3 linked regions of the Oryzias latipes genome follow. The protein of the gene in region 1 purifies or fractionates together with the protein of each later gene. This does not show direct contact. Links are inferred from orthologs where the notes say so. Each region holds a gene or a part of one and is shown in the gene's direction. Other genes may lie near its edges. The genes, in order: ptpn6, kdr and rpl35a.

Region 1 (4,249 bases):
TTCCCAGAACAGGAAGGAGAAAAACAAAGAAGACAATGCTTTCAATTGTTTTCCTAATAGCTGGTTCCGTCTGGCATTTCTTCAGTAAGCCTACATCCTCCTCTCCATAAAAAATGACCCTCGGCGTTTTAGAAAGTTTGGTGTCTATCTTCAGTCGTCAACTTTCCAGACTGCTTTGTATTATAGGGCCCATGTTTCCAAAGATAGCTGTTTGTTTTTAGCACAGCTGCTACTTAGCTTGCCAGGAACTGGCACAATTCAAATTCAGTTCTCCATCAAGCAGCTGTTTATAGCAGCATTTTAAATATGATATTCAGACTTTTAAACATCAAAAGCAACAATAACATTTAAAGTAACAACAACCATTAAACCGACTTCAAAGCTACAATCCATCCATCAGTTCTCTGAACCTGCTGAATCCCTTTCAGGGTCATAGGGTTGTTGGAGCCTATCCCTGTTACTGTTGGATAAACCCTGGAGAAGCAGCCAATTTGTTGCAGGGCTTAAAGTAACTAAATATCTAAAATCAAAATAAAGGAGTTGTTTTTCCCTGAAGAAAAAACATGCACTCAATCAATTCTATTCCTACTGATTGGTTCATTTAATAAGATCAACAAACTATAGATGTTTCTCTGTTCACCTTTTTTATGAGGCAGAAAATGCTCAAAGTATCAGTTTGCAGCGCAGTGCAAGCAAACCTGATAGCCCAAGTGAAAAGATCAAATCAGGAACCTTTTTTCCATCACTGTAGGTGTACAGCCATTCTATACGTGTGTGAAAAACGTCTGCCTTTGTCTGAGATTTGAAGCCTTAACATCTGAGAAACAAAGAGACCCCAAACCAAGTCTGACTGCAAAGCGCAAGTGAGGCAAATAATGCAAACAACAATAGCGGGCGTTAACCCCGACGACACCTGCAGGGCTGCATGTGTGTGTTTGTTGGTGCAGGGGCGGGGAGAGCTGCACCATGTACTAGAAACTACACACTTATTCACTTTTTCCTTTAATTTTTTGCTGCAAACACATAAAACCACCAAAGTCCGCTAGTCACTGAACGATTTTACACCTCATGTAGGAAACCATTATTTTCCACTTACATGCTATCTGGTTGTGAGGAATTCATGAAATAATTGCTACTGTATTTGCATTTTCATTTGTTGTGCATTTGCTTCTACGCAAATTTTTGTGTTGTTTTTAGGGATACAAAAAACTCCCCTAAAAGTCACAATATGTACTTTGTGTTTGTGGCTGCAGATAATTTACTCCGTATAAGGATAAAGCAGCAATTTTCAAGGTGCTGGATCGGCGTTCTTTAAATTAAAACAGTTGACAACAGCACATGATATATCAGCTTGCAGCAGCACACGCACACATGCAGCCTCACACATGCAGAGGGGGGAAGGTTCAAATGAGGAAGTGTTCTGTTCTGACCTTTGTGTTTCGCACACTCGTACACACCTGGAAGTAAAGAACAGAGGGCAGATTCAGCCGACAGGTGGAGGAAACTTTGCAAATACTTTCTGTTAGACAAAGAGCGGGCATATTTGTGCATTGATGAGGAGATGGAACTGCCTTTTTGGAGGGTGTTTTTCAACCATACGCCTGTTGGAATTGCCGTTGTCTCACAGCTCTGAACAGAGGAGTCATCTAAAGAAGCTCTGCAGCTGTTTTTCCAGAAGACGGAGGTGATGGAGTTGAAGCCTTCTCTGCTCTTAGATTGGCAACGTTTTTATTTTGGTCATCAATAAAAGAAAAAGAAAAAAAAAAGACACCATCTTTATCTGCTTGAGGAATTCCGGCCTGTCAGCTATTTTGGTTCCTGTCTTGCTTTCACTACTTTGTGAAAGGAGACGTAGAAAGGAAGGAAGGGGAGAGCGTATGAGCACGACGCAGAGGAGGGGAGACAGACACATACAGCGTCAACGTCTCGACCAGTGTCAGTTGTTTTCAGGAGCAGCTGAGGAGAGTAAGTGTTTACCTGCTTTTGCTGTTGAAGGGAAGACTGAGAACCGGGGTCAGCGGCGGTCCGCTGGTGGGTGGTGGCGGGGCAGGGGTGGGTATTAAGTTAATGTGTTACACCAGAGGGAGAGCAAAGGCAATTAGATTTAATTGATTCTTGATAAAAATATCTTAAGTTGAAGGTCAAGTTAGCGCTTGACATACCAAATGTGTTTGCGGTAAATGTACAATTCAAGTAGACCAAAAGTAAGGAAGCTGCAAAAACTACACAAACTTTCAACGCCAAAGTGTGTGATCTGAGTCTACACATGTGCCGCAGGAACAAGCGACTCTTCCCAAATCGCTCTTCTTCTCTTTAGTCCCAGAAAAAGTGAGGAGACGCCATGGTTCGGTGAGTCAAGCCTCTGCCGGACACATCAAACTCTGGTTTTGTTCTTTGTGTTTTGTGCAACAACTTCTCTGTTTCCATTCCTCCTTTTGTCTATTCCCTGCTGCTGGCCTGTCCTGCTCCTCTTCTGTCATGTCATTTGTGATCCCTCGTCAGCTAAACCCTGCAAGTTCAGTATAAGAGACTGGGACATAAATAAAGTGTTTAGGTTTCAGTTCTGTTGTTTCCTCAAAGCTCCACAGTGTCAGACAGATCATGTGTTCGAAAACAGTTATTAACCTTTTTTGTGCAATATGTCAGATTTTAAAAACCTGGTTATTCGTCTAGCTAATAAGGCTGTAAAGCAACATAATTTATTAAAGTACGTCAGCATTACTGACTATGCCCTAATGCACGCTTTGTTTTCCTGATGATCAACAAATTGCATGTAGGTAAAGTGAAAATAGTTTCTGAAGGTTTATGTTAAACCCTTATTGGATCAAGGATTTGGACTGTGGTTCATCACATGAAATTGTCTTTTATCTTTCTTAGGCCAGTGAAACCAAAGGCTTTAATAAAACCTTTAATTTATCACGTTAAAGTCACCCTCTGCCTTAGTATTATTTATGTTTGAGACTCTAAAACAAAAAATATAAAAATGAATATGTTGATTTTGAGGATTTTTACAAAGAATCTACTCAAGATTGTAATGAAACCTAATAATGTTTAAAAGATCATCACCTGAATTTCTTCCCTTCTTTTATTAAAAAGTACAGCTTTTCTCTCCATCTTTACACTTTCTTGCACCCCTGATCTTGTCGAGAAACTCCCATCTCTCTTTTGCGTATGCGTGCACCTGGATTTTCTTGGTCTATTTAAAGCTGTACATTTTAAATCTATGTGACACATGTATGCCTTCTACTAGGTCAATGTTGTTGTGCTTCATCTTTTCTATCTTTGTGCGTCGATCCAGGTGGTTCCACAGAGACATCACAGGCCTGCAGGCTGAGGAAATACTGAAGCTGCGAGGCATTGACGGAAGCTTTTTAGCTCGACCCAGCAAGAAAAACGTTGGAGATTTCTCCCTGTCTGTCAGGTAATGTCTGGTGTGAACAGATGCAGCACATGAGCTGCATCTGCAAAACTTCTTTCAAGTTTTGCAGCCTTTATTTGATGATAAGAAAATAAGCTGAGAGCTGCAGGCTCCCGCCAGGGCCTATATTTTGATGCGAATGATCTACGCACACATGCCAGTTTTGTTGGAGGCCTTTTCTTAAAGTGAGTAAAAGTAGCAGCAATGGAAGCGATTCTTATAATTTATAAAACTTTGCGGATTGAAAAAAAAGGTTGTTACAGAACTCCAAAAGACGTGGTTGCATCTTCTTTGAACAACAGCAGAAAATTAGTCAGATTTGCTCATTTTAGATGTCTTATCTGTAACTTCTTACAGCAAAAGATCCCTTTCCAAGCTCCACTTTGTGAAAACAGTTAGCACTTTCCAATTTTGTGTGAAAAAGTGCACAGCTCTAAATGATCTACTTACTCCCAAGGCCACTTTCTTAGAAAAAAATGCATTTTGGTTAATTCTTATCCTTTCATTTGGATTAAAAAACAATAATTCTAACAGAAAAAACATGTTTTTATGTAAAAAAAAAAAAAAAAAAAAAAAAAAAGAGTCTGAAAGCTTGATCGACAGTTTGATGAACCAAAAATGTTATTTTTGTTTGTAAAATTGTCTATTAAATCTGATTTTTTATTTATTCCGATGCTAAAGCCGCATTTTTCTAATATTTCTCCTCCTTTGGCCGCCCAAGTTGAGCTTAAAAATATGGAAAATAAATTTGTTGTTACACATGCTGCCAAAAATCTTTTAATAGGATCGATTGACTTCGATATTTGATAAGCTCGCAGCTGTAGCCAGGCT
Region 2 (3,646 bases), on another chromosome or scaffold:
GAGCTGAGCTGAATTTTCTATTGAGTGAACAAACCCAGAAAAATGTTTTTTTTCTGAAAGTGCTGTGTGTAAAAGTGGATTGCATCTGAAGTCTCAGGAGAACAATAGGCTGTCTGCCGACTGCCTTCCCTCCCTTTTCCGCAGGATACAAGATTCATGACCTCACCCTGACCCCTGTGCAGCAGAGGCTGGCTGTAGGGGAGCAGCTGGAGCTCATCTGCACTGCCAACACCGAGCTCAACGTAGGCATTGAATTCAACTGGACCCACTCGGGAGGGGCCCTGGTGAGTCTCACGCCTCACCCTCCCCTAATCCTCCACCCCCCACACCAGACACATTTTTGGTGAAAACGCTTCAGTGACGTTCATACCAGAACTCCGGGTTCTCACTTCCTTGTCTTTTTTAAAATATTTGTGACATTTTGCTTCCAAGCATCTGTCAGTTTATTGTGTGCCTCTAGGTCAAGGGTCCAACCTGAACCTCTCAAAGAGCCACTTCCATCAGTTTCCCACAGAAATGAAGGCACAGGGAGCCGCAACACTAGGGGTGTTAGAAAAAAATCGGCGATATATCGTGATAGTTCATTTGGCAATGCTTGTATTGATTAAAATACTATCAGGATATTCATTCAATTATTCATTTAATTATTTATGAGCGTTATGTTTCTTTGAACTGTTGTCCATTTTCCACAATCTTGAATAGACTTTTCTGTCTGTCAAACACCCAGAGTTAAGATGAGTGAGATGATGGAAACAAATTCACTTTGATGCAGACTCCATTCTATTTATTTATTTCTTTAAATCCAGTAAACCCAATAAATTATATTAATTTTATGGATGACAACTATTTTTTATTAGGAAGCAGCTGTTGCGGATCTGGAATCATCAGCAGTGAGTCTGAGCCCCGCCTCCGCCTCTCTACCTGTTCACATCCTCTGCAGCTCCAAGTTGTTTTCCCCCGCATGCAGCTCATGTAGTGTGTAGCTTTCCACAGAGTCCGTTGTTAGACCGTGGAACAAGTGAACAAAACAATGAAGCTCAGAGACGTGAGTCTTTCTGCCCTTTTTCAGCAGTTTTCACACTACTTCTCCCATGATGCATTGGCTTAAAGGGACAGTGTCCCAGCGCACAATGAGTTGTCCTTGTGAAACGTCTTGAAACCACAGCAAACAAACAAACAGTTTCTAAATTTTTCTAATTTAACCTTTATTTCATCTCTTAGAAAAAAAACAGCCACAACTTCCTGCTTTTTCTGCCACATTTATCACAAAAATCCACGTGAGATTGCGGGGGGGGGGGGGGGGGGCGGCTGTCGATCAATACAGACCATGAATTCCTGCTTTTTTTTTTTTTTTTGGATCGTGGTGTGCTGCGGGATTTTTGTCAAGGTTAAAGTGTGCCGTGGCTCAAAAAAGGTTGAAAAACACTGATCTACACAGACAGCGCAACATGGTCAAAGGTCAAGAGGCAGCTGAGATGTTTTAAATGCAAACATGGAGAGATGTTCCACATCAAAAAATATACAGTGTTACCTTGTTTATCACAGGGTTAGGTTCTAAAAATAACCAGCGATAGGTGAACTACAGATGTTTTAAGGATGTAAAAATCTTCACTACATACTTTATCCATGTTTCTTAGACAGAAATGAACACTTTTACAGTTTTCTCTTTTGTTTAAATTCTCAATGTTCAAACCTTCATGGAAAAAATGTCCAGTTTTATAGAATGAAAACAAATTACTGATCACAATGAATATTTATGTAAATACGGAAAGCTGAACTATTTCAGCTGTCCTTATGGCACGGAGGAGATTGATCGACAAGGTCAACAGGATGCAGAACACAGTGCACTGTTAAATAAACAAAGCATGCAAAGTTGCACTGAAAAAACATCTCAAAAATAGTGAGACCACAAAAAGTAAACCACATATAGTGAGGGAACACTGTACATTAGTTCAAGAAATTCACATTTAAACAAAGTTATTTCTTGTGTCCTGCTAACTCAGAACTCCGGGAAACTCCACACGATTCCCCACAAGAAGAAGCTGTGGAACTCTCTGGAGCTTTCCAATACTCTTATTGTGGAGAACGTGACAACGGAACACTCTGGAGAATTCATCTGCACGGCATCCAGCGGGCAGATGGATGAAAGTGCCTCTGCATACGTCAAAGTCTACGGTAGGTGCACTGGACAATTAAAATGGATTAACAAAAATGCTTTTCCATTCACACAATGTAACTGCATCAATTGACTCAGAAATAAATGAAATGATCAAGAAAATGGTTTTGACATTTCATTTTCAAAAAGTTCTCTAGTAAATGTGTACCAAAATTCAACTAGAAATATCTAAGTTGATAATTAAAATTGGATTAACAGAAATGCTTTTTCTTTTTCACAATGTAACTGGATCAATCGACTCAAAAATAAAATGAAAAATCAATCCTCCAAAATGTTTCTCTACTTGAACAGCTCCCAGTCTTTGACGTGATTAAAGCGATAATGCAAAGAGGGGATTGCACTCCCCCGGAGTGCACACCGTAACAAAACCCCCTTCCCTGCCCACAAACACGAAGCTATGAGTCCGGCTGCACTGATCAGAGTCATACTTCGCTCGCCTGGAGCAGCCGGCCGGCCGGCCGGCCGTCCTGTTTGCGCTACAAAGCCTTCCCTGGAGCAGCACACCGAGTGAACACTGACATCATTGCCCTGCCTCCCTCATGGAACAGCTGATTGGAAAGGATTTATGCAACAGTTTTTGCATGGTGGATGTGAAAATGAAAATGCAATCCCCTCTTTGCATTAATGCTTTAATTATGTCACAGAATGGGGGTGTTAAAGTGGAAAAGCATTTTGGAGGATTGATTTTTTATTTTACTTTTGAATCAATTGATGCAGTTACATTGTGAAAAGGAAAAAGCATTTTTTTAATCCATTTTAATCATCTACTTAGATACAGTATTTCTAATTGAATTTTGGTACACATTTACTAGAGAACTTTTTGAAAATGAAATGTCAAAAAACATTTTCTTTGTCATTTTAATAAAGTGACAGACTGAGCGGTGAAGAAGAAGAAAAAAACTGTTTAGCAGATTTATTTTTCATCTAATTTTTGAGTCAATTACGTAGCTTTATTGTGCAAATGAAAAAACATTCAGGTATTAACTTCTATTTTGAATGATGAGACAGAAATGCTTCCATAGAGCAGGGGTGACCTGGTCTATAATACAGCTCATGCTGGGGCACCTGACGGTTTTCCTTACTACACACAAAAGCTTGGACATAGTTTAGTGTCAATAACAAAGCATCTCATCTTGGCTGGATGAATTTATCAGTTGCTGAAGTCTTATTTGCACAGTTTTTCCTTCCATGAACTTCCATAAGATCAACATTTTCAAACAATTCAAATAAATATGAATAATTATGTTGTTATTTTCCTGCAGAAAAGCCTTTCATTGAAATGAAGGAACCCTGGCCAAAGGTCTGGGAAGTAACGGTGGGAGCTCAAGCAAGTTACCCTGTCAGGTACTCTGCGTACCCTGAACCCAGCTTTAAATGGTATGTTCATGTAGCAGTGGCAGTTTGTCATCAGTTGTGTGTCATAAACAGTTCTTTTATTACACATGAAAAAGCTGCACATTGCACATTTTT
Region 3 (4,228 bases), on another chromosome or scaffold:
CTGACCTTTAGCTGGCTTAAGCCACCCCCACCTGTCTGGGCTCAGGTTCGTGTCTCCATCAGATCCAGGACCGTGACCCGGGGGGGGGGGGGGGGGGGGGCGGTGACCCATCACCACTGATGTAAACACTAAAGCTGAGTCCTCACAGGACGACTGCTGCTGCATGATGGGATGACACGTGTAAATATTTACATATCTGTGTATGTTGTACATATGAGACTGATGCTTTCCTGTTGCTATGGAGACCAGGCTTCCTTGTCGCCATAGTGACTGGTCCAGAGAGACTTTCTCCTGTTTACTTTCTTCTGCAACTTCAAATGAAATAAAGACGACTGTTGAAACTCTTCTGTTTCCACGGTAACGGGCCTCAGCAGCAGATCAGGGACCTTCAGGGGGATGTGGGGGCCAAGGTCATACCATGACACGCCCACATCCTCAGAAGCGTGTTCTCAGTCTTCTGACAGCAGACGGCGAAGGGTCGGGACAATTCTGCCGTGCACGTGCTGCACCTGCTGAGCTCGCCGTGGACTGGAGATGTGCAGCTCACTTCCTGCTTGGGAACTTCCTGTTGAAGCCCAGGTTCCTCCGAAAGGTTCAGCTCTCTGCCAGGACGTCCCATCAGGACCTGGCTTCCCCTGCAGACACCAAAGCCTGGGTCCTGGAACTCATGGAGAAAAGCTGAAGGTTCTAACCGTGGAAACGGCAGCGCTGATGCAAACACCAGAACTTTCAAGATCAGAAGAGCCTCCAGAGGAGCAGGGTTTGGATAAGAGGTTTGACATGGAGGCGTCTTCAGACGTCTGAGCTGGACATGAATGTCAGAGCTGCAGAACGGGCTTCAGGAGGTTCTGCTCGCCCCACACGGTTCTGGCTGGACAGACGTTCCAGTGATCCTCAGCCTCCCTGCGGTTCTCTGCTTTCAGATGTGTGACCTCGTGTCTGTCCATCTGCCCTGCTGCCCTCATCGCTGCATCTACATGCCCCGCCCCTTTTCATCCACATCTCTGCAGGTTTTCTCTCCTGTCGCCTTTTATTGTTCAGGTCAGGAAAATAACTTTCAGGTAATTAGAAATTAAACTAAATAAATTTCCAATGGCGACGTGTGTCAAATCTAATTTGAATGAACTGAACGTATCTTCAATCAATTCAACTGAACTTTGACGTGTCTTTGTTTATATTTATTTTCCAGAAAATATATAACCATAAAACCATCTTATTTAGAAACCCTGTTTGAAGATGAATTTAGCGACTTTAGTTATGATAACATTTAAAACAGTTTGACGATGTCAGAAGGTTTTTGATCAGGCAGCTCCGCGGACACCTATCTTCACACCAATTACCCAGCATTCCCTTCGGCTGGCCTTTCCTTCCATCTACGCGGAACAAGAACAGGTACGAAGTGAATTCTTCCAAACTTCTTCCCAAACCCGTTCATGTTTACCCCATAACTACCGGTTCGGTCCGGACGGGTTCTCCTCCGCTGTCTGGTGTATTTTTGAGCGCGCGGGGGGTTCGGATGACGTAGATTCGGCGTGGATTATCATGCTGTTTGCTGCTAACAGCGCGGCTGTGAAATGAGCCGACCCGGATCATCAGCAGCGACTTTTCCTCCGGATTCGGAACCGGCTCTGCTTAGCACGGAGCAGATCCGGCGTTAGTGCCTTTGTTTATCAGTGCCCTGGAGGAAGGAGGAGTACCGGGAGAAGCAGCTCCGTGTGCCGGTAGAAGGAGTTCAGTGTGCCGGGAGAGAGACCTCTTATCCCGGCTGGGAGAAGCTACGTCTGCCGGGAAAAGGAGCTCCTTCCACCGGCACACGGACGTCCTTCAGCCGGGAGAAGGGGCTCTGTGTGCCGGTGTCGGGTGTTCAGTGTGCCGGCACACCGGCCACCTCCTCCCGGTGGAAGGAGCTCCTTCTCGGCACACAGACCACCTCCTCCCAGCATTCCAGTCCTGCAGACGTTTGACCGGCTGTCCTGTTTGTCTGCAGGTGAATCCACCTGAGGAGAACCACGATGCCTGGAAGGTGAGTTTTATCTGCTCATAGTTCTGCTGCTGAATTCTGATGTTCTGGTTCTGCCCTGAATTTGGACCTGATAAGGGAGTTCCTGCTAAAGCATATCCGTGCTGGATCTGGTGTGAACATCCAGAACCGATAGTGATGATCTGGGTGTCGGTAGACTGCGGTCTGTAACCACCGGTTCCGGTCTGGCTGCTGTTTGTGTGACAGACTGTGGAGTAAGGCCATCTTCACCGGCTACAAGCGCGGCCTGAGGAACCAGCGCGAGCACACGGCGCTGCTGAAGCTGGAGGGCTGCTACAGCCGGGACCAGGTGGACTTCTACCTGGGCAAACGCTGCGCCTACGTCTACAAGGCCAAGAAGTCAGGCTGGTTTTATTGTGTTATTGTGAGTGCTTGTGTTTGTCGCTAAAAGTGTGAATTTTGCAGGAACACAGTCACACCCGGTGGAAAACCCAACAAGACCCGGGTCATTTGGGGCAAAGTGACGCGGGCTCATGGAAACAGTGGGATGGTCCGGGCCAAGTTCAGCAGTAACCTGCCAGCCAAAGCCATCGGACACCGGATCAGAGTGGTGGGTTTGGAGGTTTAGACCGTCTGGAACTGTGGTTCTGCTGGATCCAGAGGTGGTAGCGCCCGTTTCAGTTCTGTCCTGGAGAACATCATCGTTCTGTACATGTTGCTGAAAAGTTAAAACAAACGGCATCAAAACGATCGTGCCAGTCTTGAAGGTGGCCGCCGTGCTGCCTGATCAAAACCATCGTGTTACATCCTGTTTGCCCCCGTAGTCTCCACCCTCTGGTTGATGCCCCCGTACCCTCCTTCCTCTGGTTAATGCCCCCGTAGTCTCCTTCCTCTGGTTGATGCCCCCGTAGCCTCCTTCCTCTGGTTAATGCCCCCGTAGTCTCCTTCCTCTGGTTGATGCCCCCGTAGTCTCCTTCCTCTGGTTGATGCCCCCGTAGCCTCCTTCCTCTGGTTGATGCCCCCGTAGCCTCCTTCCTCTGGTTAATGCCCCCGTAGTCTCCTTCCTCTGGTTGATGCCCCCGTAGCCTCCTTCCTCTGGTTAATGCCCCCGTAGCCTCCTTCCTCTGGTTAATGCCCCCGTAGTCTCCTTCCTCTGGTTAATGCCCCCGTAGCCTCCTTCCTCTGGTTAATGCCCCCGTAGTCTCCTTCCTCTGGTTAATGCCCCCGTAGTCTCCTTCCTCTGGTTAATGCCCCCGTAGCCTCCTTCCTCTGGTTGATGCCCCCGTAGCCTCCTTCCTCTGGTTAATGCCCCCGTAGTCTCCTTCCTCTGGTTGATGCCCCCGTAGCCTCCTTCCTCTGGTTGATGCCCCCGTAGCCTCCTTCCTCTGGTTAATGCCCCCGTAGTCTCCTTCCTCTGGTTGATGCCCCCGTAGCCTCCTTCCTCTGGTTAATGCCCCCGTAGCCTCCTTCCTCTGGTTAATGCCCCCGTAGTCTCCTTCCTCTGGTTAATGCCCCCGTAGCCTCCTTCCTCTGGTTAATGCCCCCGTAGTCTCCTTCCTCTGGTTAATGCCCCCGTAGTCTCCTTCCTCTGGTTAATGCCCCCGTAGCCTCCTTCCTCTGGTTGATGCCCCCGTAGTCTCCTTCCTCTGGTTAATGCCCCCGTAGCCTCCTTCCTCTGGTTAATGCCCCCGTAGCCTCCTTCCTCTGGTTAATGCCCCCGTAGCCTCCTTCCTCTGGTTAATGCCCCCGTAGTCTCCACCCTCTGGTTAATGCCCCCGTAGTCTCCACCCTCTGGTTAATGCCCCCGTAGTCTCCACCCTCTGGTTAATGCCCCCGTAGTCTCCACCCTCTGGGTAATGTCCCCGTAGCCTATTTTCTCAGTCCTCTGCCCCTGTACCCTGCTTTCTGAGGGCGCCGCCCCCATAACCTCCTTTCTTAGAGTAATGCTCCTTCTTCTCTTGTCCCCTCGGGGGTAACGCCCCTTATCCCTCGGGGGTAACGCCCCTTGTCTCTCGGAGGTAACGCCCCCCGCTCTTAAGGCCCGTACACACCGGGACGAATATTCGCCAGGCGTTATTCGCCAGCGTTTTTCGCCACGTTTTTTGTGTTCACACCCAGGCGATTTTCGCTGACGATGAGTGAAGTGAACATGCAATTTCCTTCCCTGACATTAGATGGCGCTTAATGTAAACAGAAATACTCCTGTACACAAGGTGGCGCTGCGCAACTTTACGCTTCTTAAAGTCG

Evidence for each region.
Region 2: the proteins of ptpn6 (region 1) and kdr purify together in Homo sapiens (affinity purification with western blotting; 3 studies listed by BioGRID and IntAct, with this or other methods). This does not show direct contact. The link is inferred for Oryzias latipes from reciprocal best matches to the Homo sapiens genes PTPN6 and KDR.
Region 3: the proteins of ptpn6 (region 1) and rpl35a purify together in Homo sapiens (affinity purification with mass spectrometry; 3 studies listed by BioGRID and IntAct, with this or other methods). This does not show direct contact. The link is inferred for Oryzias latipes from reciprocal best matches to the Homo sapiens genes PTPN6 and RPL35A.

The regions. Positions count from the first base shown.
Region 1 is NC_019874.2:20,377,657-20,381,905, reverse strand, and holds the start of ptpn6 (tyrosine-protein phosphatase non-receptor type 6), read left to right. Parts: upstream 1-1,447; 5' UTR 1,448-1,965; intron 1,966-2,277; 5' UTR 2,278-2,341; coding exon 2,342-2,349; intron 2,350-3,298; coding exon 3,299-3,421; intron 3,422-4,249. UniProt on the Homo sapiens protein: Tyrosine phosphatase enzyme that plays important roles in controlling immune signaling pathways and fundamental physiological processes such as hematopoiesis.
Region 2 is NC_019862.2:260,515-264,160, forward strand, and holds part of kdr (vascular endothelial growth factor receptor 2), read left to right. Parts: intron 1-144; coding exon 145-284; intron 285-2,003; coding exon 2,004-2,175; intron 2,176-3,438; coding exon 3,439-3,553; intron 3,554-3,646. UniProt on the Homo sapiens protein: Tyrosine-protein kinase that acts as a cell-surface receptor for VEGFA, VEGFC and VEGFD. Plays an essential role in the regulation of angiogenesis, vascular development, vascular permeability, and embryonic hematopoiesis.
Region 3 is NC_019871.2:2,305-6,532, reverse strand, and holds the start of rpl35a (60S ribosomal protein L35a), read left to right. Parts: upstream 1-1,299; 5' UTR 1,300-1,392; intron 1,393-1,987; 5' UTR 1,988-2,012; coding exon 2,013-2,023; intron 2,024-2,227; coding exon 2,228-2,380; intron 2,381-2,446; coding exon 2,447-2,591; intron 2,592-4,228.